Saccharomyces cerevisiae S288C: one gene and its partner. Each later gene encodes a partner of the first gene's protein in a complex. Each region holds a gene or a part of one and is shown in the gene's direction. Other genes may lie near its edges. The genes, in order: MYO4 and SHE3.

What was found.
Region 2: the proteins of MYO4 (region 1) and SHE3 are in contact, whole or in part, in a crystal structure (PDB 4LL8), measured with the Saccharomyces cerevisiae proteins. Residues at the interface, in NP_009373.1 of Saccharomyces cerevisiae: Leu1043 (codon at 4,700), Ser1044 (codon at 4,703), Val1047 (codon at 4,712), Met1050 (codon at 4,721), Lys1051 (codon at 4,724), Leu1054 (codon at 4,733), Ala1055 (codon at 4,736), Ile1057 (codon at 4,742), Glu1058 (codon at 4,745), Ile1061 (codon at 4,754), Trp1325 (codon at 5,546), Tyr1329 (codon at 5,558), Arg1350 (codon at 5,621), Ile1354 (codon at 5,633), Gln1358 (codon at 5,645), Lys1361 (codon at 5,654), Ile1362 (codon at 5,657), Gln1364 (codon at 5,663), Leu1365 (codon at 5,666), Lys1366 (codon at 5,669), Leu1376 (codon at 5,699), Asp1378 (codon at 5,705), Phe1379 (codon at 5,708), Tyr1381 (codon at 5,714), Glu1402 (codon at 5,777); in NP_009688.3 of Saccharomyces cerevisiae: Glu149 (codon at 2,218), Gln152 (codon at 2,227), Asn153 (codon at 2,230), Val156 (codon at 2,239), Asn157 (codon at 2,242), Ser160 (codon at 2,251), Leu161 (codon at 2,254), Glu163 (codon at 2,260), Ser164 (codon at 2,263), Gln165 (codon at 2,266), Leu167 (codon at 2,272), Tyr168 (codon at 2,275), His171 (codon at 2,284), Tyr172 (codon at 2,287), Glu175 (codon at 2,296), Lys178 (codon at 2,305), Leu179 (codon at 2,308), Lys182 (codon at 2,317), Ile183 (codon at 2,320), Leu186 (codon at 2,329), Leu190 (codon at 2,341), Gln193 (codon at 2,350).

Annotation. Positions count from the first base shown.
Region 1 is NC_001133.9:87,105-93,843, reverse strand, and holds MYO4 (myosin 4), read left to right. Parts: upstream 1-1,573; coding exon 1,574-5,989; downstream 5,990-6,739. Other genes in the region: FRT2 (Frt2p), read right to left, coding at 1-944; SNAP receptor SNC1, read right to left, coding at 6,092-6,343, 6,457-6,558. UniProt on the Saccharomyces cerevisiae protein: Part of the mRNA localization machinery that restricts accumulation of certain proteins to the bud and in the daughter cell. Recruited to specific mRNAs including the ASH1 mRNA, coding for a repressor of the HO endonuclease, via its interaction with SHE3.
Region 2 is NC_001134.8:494,785-498,642, reverse strand, and holds SHE3 (She3p), read left to right. Parts: upstream 1-1,773; coding exon 1,774-3,051; downstream 3,052-3,858. Other genes in the region: CCZ1 (Ccz1p), read right to left, coding at 1-1,480; OPY1 (Opy1p), read left to right, coding at 3,304-3,858. UniProt on the Saccharomyces cerevisiae protein: RNA-binding protein that binds specific mRNAs including the ASH1 mRNA, coding for a repressor of the HO endonuclease. Part of the mRNA localization machinery that restricts accumulation of certain proteins to the bud and in the daughter cell.

The DNA of each region.
Region 1 (6,739 bases):
GATGAGGACGACTGCGAAAACGATGCATTGCAGGCGTCTTTTGGCGAAAGCCCAATGGGATTAGCAACGGCAGGAGAGGATTCGGAAGCTACAGAGGGCGGTCTTGAGGGCGAAACATGTTTCTTTGGTGAGCTTTCAAGATCATGGTAAAGCAAGCTCTGTAACGATATATCTGTCTGCGTGCTAGAACTCCCGTCTGATGAATGCGAATGATGTGTGGGTCGCTTGGAAGGCTTAGATATAACATTGGGCAATATTGGATCGAAAGCCGGCGCCAGTGCAGACGAATCCTTAGATTGCCCAGACGAAGAAGGCTCCATGGATTTCAAAAACCGGTGAACCAACCTTTTCTTGTCCTTCACGAAGGACCGGGAAGGTGATTTAAGACCGTACTTGTCGTTGTCTTTGTAATGGCGATGGGCTGGGTGCTGCTGGGCTTGCAACATCTTAAATGAGGGAAAATGGTCTTTGGCAGAGTATCCACCATCGAGAGGCTTTGATTCTACACTATGCTGCGGGAATGGTCCTTTAAAGGTGGCGACTACGTTAAATGGGTGTTTTGGCGAGAGTCCAGAAGACTTCATCGTACTGAGACTTCGTACTTTATCTGGTGCTGCGTTGAACATACAATCGCTGAACATTGCGGTCGAGGCAGACGTGTAATCCGGAATAACTTGACGATGCAGTTTATGACGAGCATGATGGTGCTCCATTTCATATTTCTGCTCTTTTTCGTGTAATGCAGCCAAATTACTGTGAGAGGCTTGCCATCCAACGTTTGGCTTAGTTTCAACAGTAGATTTGTGGCCAACATCTGGTGTTCCAGCGTCAATCATTTGCTTTACATCTTCCAGGGGTCTCTTTTCTACACCATCTTTGCTATTGCGATCTGTACCATCTATTCCGCTGCCTTTAGAAGAGCTCTTTATTTGAGCATTTTGCATTGTACCTGGACAACTACTGGACTACGTAAAAAACTGCCATCAATTTGTGTTATTCTTACTCTTTGAGACAATGTTTCATAACAATAGAACAATAGCTTTTTGACCTTCCCCTTATTTTATTTCAAAAGGTAACAGTTAGGGCTATTCTTAAACTTTCTTTAGGGTACACAATGAAAACATCAAGATTGAGTTAAAACCCTTAAAATAAAACTAGGTCTTTAAGAAACTCACTCTCCGGGTTATCCATAGAATGTTTACCATTCTTTAGGGTTCTGAACTAATGCGAAAAAAAAAAAAGAAAAGACTGAAAAATTCGAAAATATCTCGAAGTTTAGCAGTAGTAGATGAGAATAGGGTCTCTTTTATCGAAAACCTGCAATTGTAATACAACCTTTTTTTGAAAGTCAGCCTTTATTCTGATTCTGCATACTCAATTCCTCAATTCCTACGGAGTTATCACCTTTTTTTTTACCTTCTCTTCTTTTCTTATTGTTCTAGCTGAAAACATTGTTACCAGTTTGGCGAGACAATTTATTTTCAATACGATACCCTTTTGTTCTTCTTTTTATAATTCAATCTAATTCTAAAACACAAAAAAACAAAAAAAATCCTATAACCAGTTCTCCCGCATGTCATTTGAAGTAGGAACTAAGTGTTGGTACCCTCACAAAGAACAAGGCTGGATAGGCGGCGAAGTCACCAAGAATGACTTCTTTGAAGGAACGTTCCACTTAGAGTTGAAATTGGAGGATGGAGAAACTGTATCCATTGAAACAAATAGCTTCGAAAATGATGATGATCATCCCACGCTACCTGTACTACGAAACCCACCTATTTTAGAGTCTACTGATGACTTAACCACCCTATCATATCTGAACGAACCGGCAGTGCTGCATGCCATAAAAAAAAGATACATGAATGGACAGATATATACTTACTCTGGTATTGTCCTTATTGCCGCTAATCCCTTTGATAAAGTCGACCATTTGTACTCTCGCGAGATGATACAGAATTATTCTAGTAAGCGTAAAGATGAGCTGGAGCCGCACCTTTTTGCCATAGCAGAGGAGGCGTACAGGTTCATGGTCCATGAAAAGGCTAACCAGACTGTTGTAGTCAGTGGTGAATCCGGTGCTGGTAAGACCGTCTCTGCTAAATACATTATGAGATACTTTGCCTCAGTCCAAGAAAGCAACAATCGTGAAGGGGAAGTGGAAATGTCTCAAATCGAGAGCCAAATTTTAGCTACTAACCCGATCATGGAAGCCTTTGGTAACGCCAAAACTACCAGAAATGATAATTCCTCTCGTTTCGGCAAATATCTGCAAATTTTATTTGATGAGAATACTACCATCAGGGGGTCCAAAATTAGAACCTATCTCTTGGAAAAATCCAGGTTAGTTTATCAGCCAGAGACAGAAAGAAATTACCATATTTTTTACCAAATTTTGGAAGGATTGCCAGAACCGGTAAAACAAGAACTGCATTTGTCATCTCCCAAGGACTACCATTATACTAACCAAGGTGGACAGCCGAACATAGCTGGTATAGATGAAGCTCGAGAATACAAGATAACCACTGATGCCCTGTCATTAGTAGGTATAAACCACGAGACTCAGCTTGGAATTTTCAAAATTCTTGCAGGCTTGCTACATATAGGTAATATCGAGATGAAAATGACTAGAAACGACGCATCACTATCATCGGAAGAGCAAAACCTGCAAATCGCATGTGAATTATTGGGTATTGATCCCTTCAATTTTGCAAAATGGATTGTCAAGAAACAAATCGTCACAAGGTCTGAAAAAATTGTCACTAATTTGAATTACAATCAAGCGCTAATTGCTAGGGACTCTGTGGCGAAATTTATTTATTCCACGCTTTTTGATTGGCTAGTAGACAACATTAACAAGACATTATACGATCCTGAGCTGGATCAACAAGATCATGTCTTTTCCTTTATTGGTATTTTAGATATCTACGGGTTTGAGCATTTTGAGAAAAACTCATTCGAACAATTCTGTATAAACTATGCGAATGAAAAATTACAACAAGAGTTCAACCAGCACGTTTTCAAATTGGAGCAAGAAGAATATGTAAAGGAGGAAATTGAGTGGTCTTTCATTGAGTTCAGCGACAACCAACCTTGCATAGACTTGATTGAGAATAAACTTGGAATACTTTCTCTATTAGATGAAGAAAGTAGATTACCATCAGGCTCAGATGAATCATGGGCCTCAAAACTATATTCTGCCTTTAATAAACCGCCCTCAAATGAAGTTTTTTCGAAGCCAAGATTCGGACAAACGAAGTTTATAGTAAGCCATTATGCTGTTGATGTAGAATATGAAGTTGAAGGGTTTATTGAAAAGAATAGAGACAGCGTTTCCCTAGGTCATCTGGATGTTTTCAAAGCAACGACAAATCCAATTTTCAAACAAATTTTAGACAACAGAGAACTTAGGAGTGACGATGCTCCTGAAGAGCAAAATACTGAAAAAAAGATAATGATCCCAGCAAGATTAAGTCAAAAGAAACCAACCCTGGGATCTATGTTCAAAAAATCGCTCGGGGAATTGATGGCCATCATAAATTCTACTAATGTTCATTATATTCGTTGCATAAAACCAAATTCTGAAAAAAAGCCATGGGAGTTCGATAATTTGATGGTCTTATCGCAATTAAGAGCTTGTGGTGTGCTGGAAACAATCAGGATTTCATGTGCAGGCTTTCCATCAAGATGGACTTTTGACGAATTCGTTCAAAGATATTTCCTCCTGACGGACTACAGCTTATGGAGTGGAATTCTTTATAATCCAGACCTCCCAAAAGAGGCAATCGTCAACTTCTGTCAATCTATTCTAGATGCTACTATCTCTGATTCAGCAAAATACCAAATTGGTAATACCAAAATTTTCTTTAAAGCAGGAATGCTTGCATTTTTGGAAAAGCTAAGGACTAATAAAATGAATGAAATATGCATCATAATACAGAAAAAGATAAGGGCAAGATACTATAGGCTTCAGTATTTGCAGACCATGGAATCAATAAAGAAGTGCCAAAGCCAAATTAGAAGTTTGTTGGTTCGTACAAGGGTCGATCATGAGCTCAAGACAAGAGCTGCCATATTACTACAAACGAACATTAGAGCATTATGGAAACGGGAATACTATAGAGCTGCCATTGGGCAAATAATAAAACTACAATGTACCTGTAAAAGAAAATTGATTTTAGATAGTGTTAACAGGAAATTCATGCTCATGGCGGCAGTAATTATCCAAAGCTACATCAGATCATATGGTCACAAAACAGATTACAGAACATTGAAAAGGAGCTCCATTCTTGTACAAAGCGCCATGAGAATGCAGTTAGCTAGACGAAGGTATATAGTTCTGCAAAAAGAAGTTGAAGAACGGAATATTAGGGCTAGTTACGGGATTGGATTACTGGAGGAAGCTATCGAATTTAAGAACTCTTTCATTTTGAATCTAGAGATGTTAAATGACTCATATACAAGATTAACACAGTTGTTGCAGGGAGATTTGTCAAATATTCCATCTAAGCAAAGGCAAGAGTACGAAACGATAGTAAATGGTTATAATGATAAGATTTCCAAGCTGAAGACGTTACAAGTTGAAATCATGAATACTTTAAACAAGAAGAATGCCTTGAAGGAGAGAAAAAAGAAGCAATCTTCTTTAATACAGTCACATATGCAAAGTTTGGCTGCTATAAAAGGTAACAAACCTTCAAGATTAAGTGATGAAGTCAAATCAATGAAGCAAGAACTAGCGTTTATTGAAAACGTAATAGCACAAGATTTCACCACCACATATTCTGCTAATAAGAATGATAAAGTGAAAGGTTTGGGAATCGCAGGACAACAAGTAAAACCGAAGCTAGTCAATGTAATTCGTAGAGAATCAGGAAATCCTGATCTTCTAGAATTACTAATGGACCTGAATTGTTACACATTAGAAGTCACAGAAGGTTACTTGAAAAAAGTAAATGTTACTGAGGTGAATGGAGACAATGTTCTGGGTCCTATACACGTCATTACTACAGTGGTAAGTAGCTTAGTGAGAAATGGGTTATTGATTCAAAGTAGCAAATTCATCTCGAAAGTCCTATTGACTGTAGAAAGCATTGTTATGAGTCTACCAAAGGACGAAACAATGCTTGGTGGTATCTTTTGGTTAAGTAATCTTTCCAGACTTCCCGCATTTGCTGCAAATCAAAAAACATTATATGAAGCGAATGGTGGTGATGAAAAAGATAAGTTAACACTGATATATTTGAATGATTTGGAGAATGAAACTTTAAAAGTATTCGACAAGATTTATTCCACTTGGTTAGTGAAATTCATGAAGCATGCTTCAGCCCACATCGAGATCTTCGATATGGTTTTAAACGAGAAGCTATTTAAAAATTCTGGTGATGAGAAGTTCGCTAAATTATTCACATTCTTAAATGAATTTGATGCTGTCTTGTGTAAATTTCAAGTTGTTGACTCAATGCATACAAAAATTTTTAACGACACCCTGAAGTATCTGAACGTAATGCTATTTAATGACCTAATAACCAAATGTCCCGCGTTAAATTGGAAGTATGGGTACGAAGTGGATAGAAATATCGAGCGGTTGGTGAGCTGGTTTGAACCAAGAATTGAAGACGTTCGTCCCAATTTGATTCAAATAATTCAGGCTGTCAAGATATTACAGTTGAAGATAAGCAACTTGAACGAGTTCAAGTTACTATTCGATTTCTGGTATGCCTTGAATCCAGCCCAAATACAAGCAATTCTGTTGAAATACAAGCCTGCTAACAAGGGCGAAGCTGGAGTACCGAACGAAATCTTGAATTATTTAGCTAACGTGATCAAAAGAGAAAATCTGTCTTTGCCAGGGAAGATGGAAATTATGCTTTCTGCCCAATTTGACTCTGCTAAAAACCATCTGCGTTATGACACTAGTGCAATAACACAGAACAGCAATACAGAGGGCTTAGCTACTGTCAGTAAAATTATAAAATTAGACAGAAAATAAGAACAAAGTAAATATACGCCCATATATGTATATATGTATATATACATATATCCTACACTACATATGGAAGCTCCCTATATATATAGCATTGCGAGTGAACTTCTATCGACTAAAGTGAACAGCAATGGGGACGATGATTACAACAAGCAATATGATGATTACTAAAGCCAGACACATCTTCATTTTTAGATCCTTGTACCACATGGCTTTTCTGACCCTATTGGCACCCCTCTTAAAGCCTTGGGCTGAGACCGCTAGGTTATCGGCTTTATCTTCAATGGACGTTAATCTTTCACCTCTTTCTGCTACTTTATTTATGTTATCTCTCATTATTCCCACGGTATCATCAATTTCCTAAAAATAAACACGAAGAACGTATATGAATGTATACGCATAAGTATCAACGATGTAGAAAGTTAGTATAATGTTAATTTCCTAGATGGTACTCTGTGGCTTTCTGTACTTACAGCTTGTAGTTCCGCAGTCCTTGACTTAGACTGTACATTCTGGGGTCGTTCTTCATCGTGCTCGGATAGAGCATAAGGGTCAAAGGGAGTAGATGACGACATGGACAATGAATACGTTGCGCTTGCTATGTCTTTGGCGCAAATTTTCAATGTTTAACTAATACTTTTGACGATCTTTCTTATAGATGCTGTGGGAAAGACCCTTAAAAATGTCTGTTACCCTGCAATCAATGGTTGAAACAGCAGGAAGACGCATAATAAAGGCATATGTTTGAAGTTTGTT
Region 2 (3,858 bases), on another chromosome or scaffold:
TTAAAATCTCATTGTTTAGGCATTCCATACTCTGACACAATTGGAAGCTCAAGTCCTTTAGATAGTCTCTTTCACAAATCTTGTTGAAGTCCGGATCACAGACAATTACAATTAAAAAATCATCAAAGTACCAAAATAGGCAATTATAAAAATCCTCCTTGTCTTTGGAGTTTTCAAAGTTCAAATTCAGTTTCAGGGCTTGGTATGATGATGGCAACAGGTCTGAATTCAATGGGGAAATTAGGAAACCAAATCTCGAGTTGCCTATCGTCCCTCCAACAGCCTCTGATTGCGCCATCAGTGGGGCATTCGAATTTGCGTTATCATTGCTATTTGAGTAATTATTTTTGTCGGCACTTTTGTTAGAGGATGAAATGAACGGCCAATGGGGCTTCGGTACATAGTCCATTATCATGGATAAGCTACCCGAAACACCAGTCGTGGTACTCACTTCATGTATAGCGTCGTATGCAAAAGAAATGGGGAGTGTTACGTTGTGTATCACTCTTTCCGATAGAGAGAGTTCGCTTGTATTGTTTTGCGTAGTCTCTTGGTGCTCCCGTCGCTGTTGCTCCTGTGATTCCTCTTCGTCTCTTCCGTTTGTATCACGACTTCGCTCTTGTTCTTCTTCTACTTGTAGCTCCTCTTTAAAATGGACATTTCCTGTTAATATATGACTTGATATTTCACCATAGGTGCAGTGCAAATGATATAGCCAATTTGAGATATCTGGTAATGTGTTCAGGTCACTGGTAAAGTTCCTTACTAGTCCATAAGTTTTTGTTCCCATAGACTCCCTATTAGCCGCTTTGGTGCGCTTTGGTAGGTGGTAAACCAAAATGTCCTTTAGTCCTAGATAACTCTTTTTATCTAAAAGAATATTCTGCAAGATTATAGCGTCCCATGACTCTTCGACATTATTTTTTTCTCCAGGATTATAAGAGGAATGTTGAAAATTTGCCCTTTTATAAAAACCAGGCCACATTACAGTAAATGATCTATTCGTTACAGTTTCTAGATTCAAATAAATATCATTCCAGAACGGAATAACGAATTCGTTCAACAAATCCGTGAGTTTGCGGAAGTCCTTGTTAAATCCGCTGAATGACCCATTGAGTAGCTTGAAGAACCTGTAACTAAGCCATAAGTAAGCACTGAGATACTGTAAAGGTATGGCACTCTGATCGTCGCTGATATTCGAAATTGCTAGACTGATGAAAAATCTTGATTCCACCTTAATACAAAAAATAATATCATTGTTCAGCTCAATAATTTTCTCTAAATCTTCGCCGTCCTTGTTTACGCATGAACTCGTAAGTGACCAAATGCCCTGTATTACTCCTATGATGGACAGTTTTTCGTTTAAAGAGGGTATTGAATCAGTAGTGCCAAAATAATGGAACAGCAGCAACTGCTTGAAAGTGTCATTTTCGTTGGTAGATCTTGATGGATCAAAAACCGTAATATAGTGTAGTCTCATATCCGTCTTTCATATATCAATTTAATAGTTGTACGATTTAGAATGTATTTTTGGTTCCACGTCAAATGAAACTATTTCCCTATTGCTACTACATATTATTGTCATCGCAATAAAATAGGCTAAATAGTTACCCGCTCGTTTCGTCTTTTGTTCGGGCGAGAGCTTCATTACTAACTACTATTGCATTTTGTTTATTGATTTGTTGCCATGAGTAGCAGCAGTCTGAAGGGGTTACCAAACGTTAGCTCGTCTATCAAGCACGCCAAGGTTCAACGACACTACTTTTGTGTAAGATGTCGGACCAGGATAATACCCAGACTTCTTCAAGCAAGTTGGCACCTCACCATAATATTTTTATGGCAAACTTGGAAAGTTCCCCCACAAAAGATAGAAATACCTCCAGCCAAAATGCCTCATCTTCGAGAGTCATTGAATCACTGCATGACCAGATTGATATGCTGACAAAAACAAATCTACAATTGACTACGCAATCTCAAAATTTATTGAGTAAATTGGAATTAGCACAATCCAAAGAATCAAAACTACTGGAAAATTTAAATCTGCTGAAGAACGAGAACGAAAATCTCAACTCGATATTTGAAAGAAAGAACAAGAAGCTAAAAGAGCTAGAGAAAGATTATAGCGAATTGAGTAACCGTTACAATGAACAAAAGGAGAAAATGGATCAATTGAGTAAATTGGCGAAAAATTCTAGTGCCATTGAACAATCTTGCTCTGAAAAATTGCAAAATATGGAAGTTAACTATAATTCATTATTGGAGTCACAAAATCTTTACAGAGACCACTATTCTGATGAAATTTCCAAATTAAATGAAAAAATCGGTTTGTTGGAGTTAGAGTTAAGTAATCAAAATTTAAATTATGGTTCAGATACTAGTTCAAATTCAGATATAGAATTGAATTTAAATAAATTCAATGACTCTGTGAAAGATTTGAAATCTCTGGAAACAGAAAAGGATTCAAAATTAAGCAAGATAATCACTCACTCTTTAGATGAGTTAAATCTACAAAGCTGGCTAAATCTGTACCAGACGAACGAAAATCTGATATCAACTTTTGCTGAAAAGATGGATTTGAAAGACGTCTTGAAAAGAAACGATGAGAAGATTAGTAATAAAGGCGCGGTAGTACAAACCTTGAAGAAGAATGTACAAACCCAGGTGGAAAGCAACAACGCTGACGCTTTGAGTAGCAATAATGCACAGGATATGCTTCCTATTAAGATGGTCAAATTAAGAAAGACGCCGAACACAAACGATTCATCCTCCAATGGTAATAGCAGTAACAATAAAAGAAGAAGTTTCTATACTGCGTCGCCTTTGCTGTCATCGGGTTCTATTCCAAAATCTGCATCCCCGGTTTTGCCTGGTGTTAAAAGAACTGCCTCAGTAAGAAAACCAAGCTCGAGCAGTAGTAAAACAAATGTAACGCATAATAACGATCCAAGTACATCTCCCACAATCTCAGTGCCTCCCGGTGTTACAAGAACTGTTTCCTCCACTCATAAGAAAAAGGGAAATAGTATGGTTGTTCACGGGGCCCAATCCTAGAATATGCCGACACAAGGGAGTATATATATAGGATTCATTTAGATAATAGAACAAAAGTAAATAGATGCCTCTAAGGTTTTATAGACACGAATCCATATTTTTCACTTTCGGTCACTCACAACGGTTTTTTCTCTACTATAATGTGGCTGAAATTAAACGAACAGGCCAAAATGTGGTACGCAATAGTAGCCAGTAGGTGAATTAACCATAAATAATTACGCTAATTTTGCCTTGGTAAATTTCATAAGACCAATGATAGCAGGTGCGACTGCTCCGTCAAGTCAGCATGAAATTTTGATCGCATCGAATCTCATCAAGAAGCCATCAACGTCTCAAAATAAAACGCCGACAGCTCAATCCAGTTCAGGTAACAATGGAGCTGCTGATGGTGCACCGCAGGGTTACCATCATCACCATCATCACCATCGTCATTTATGGTGGCCTCGGACAACAGACCATCAATATTGGTGTGTCTTGAGGAAAAACCAATTTGCCTATTACAAAACTCGGGATGAAAGAGAGGCTATAAGTGTCATACCGAGATTTGACATACTTAATTTTAAGATAAGCGAGCTCGATGGTATATTAACTGTTTATACTCCATCCAAGGATTTAATATTCAAATTTCCACGAGGGCAAAATGAGAAGGTTGGTATGGAACTGATGCATAATTGGAAAATTGCCCTTGAAAAATTCCTCTCTAGTCCTAGTGGCAACGAAAGTGTCACTACAGGTAGTGATTATGATGAAGAAGAGGATGATGATGATTTAATTGTAGTTGACGAAAAGGCGGGTCCTTCTAGCAGC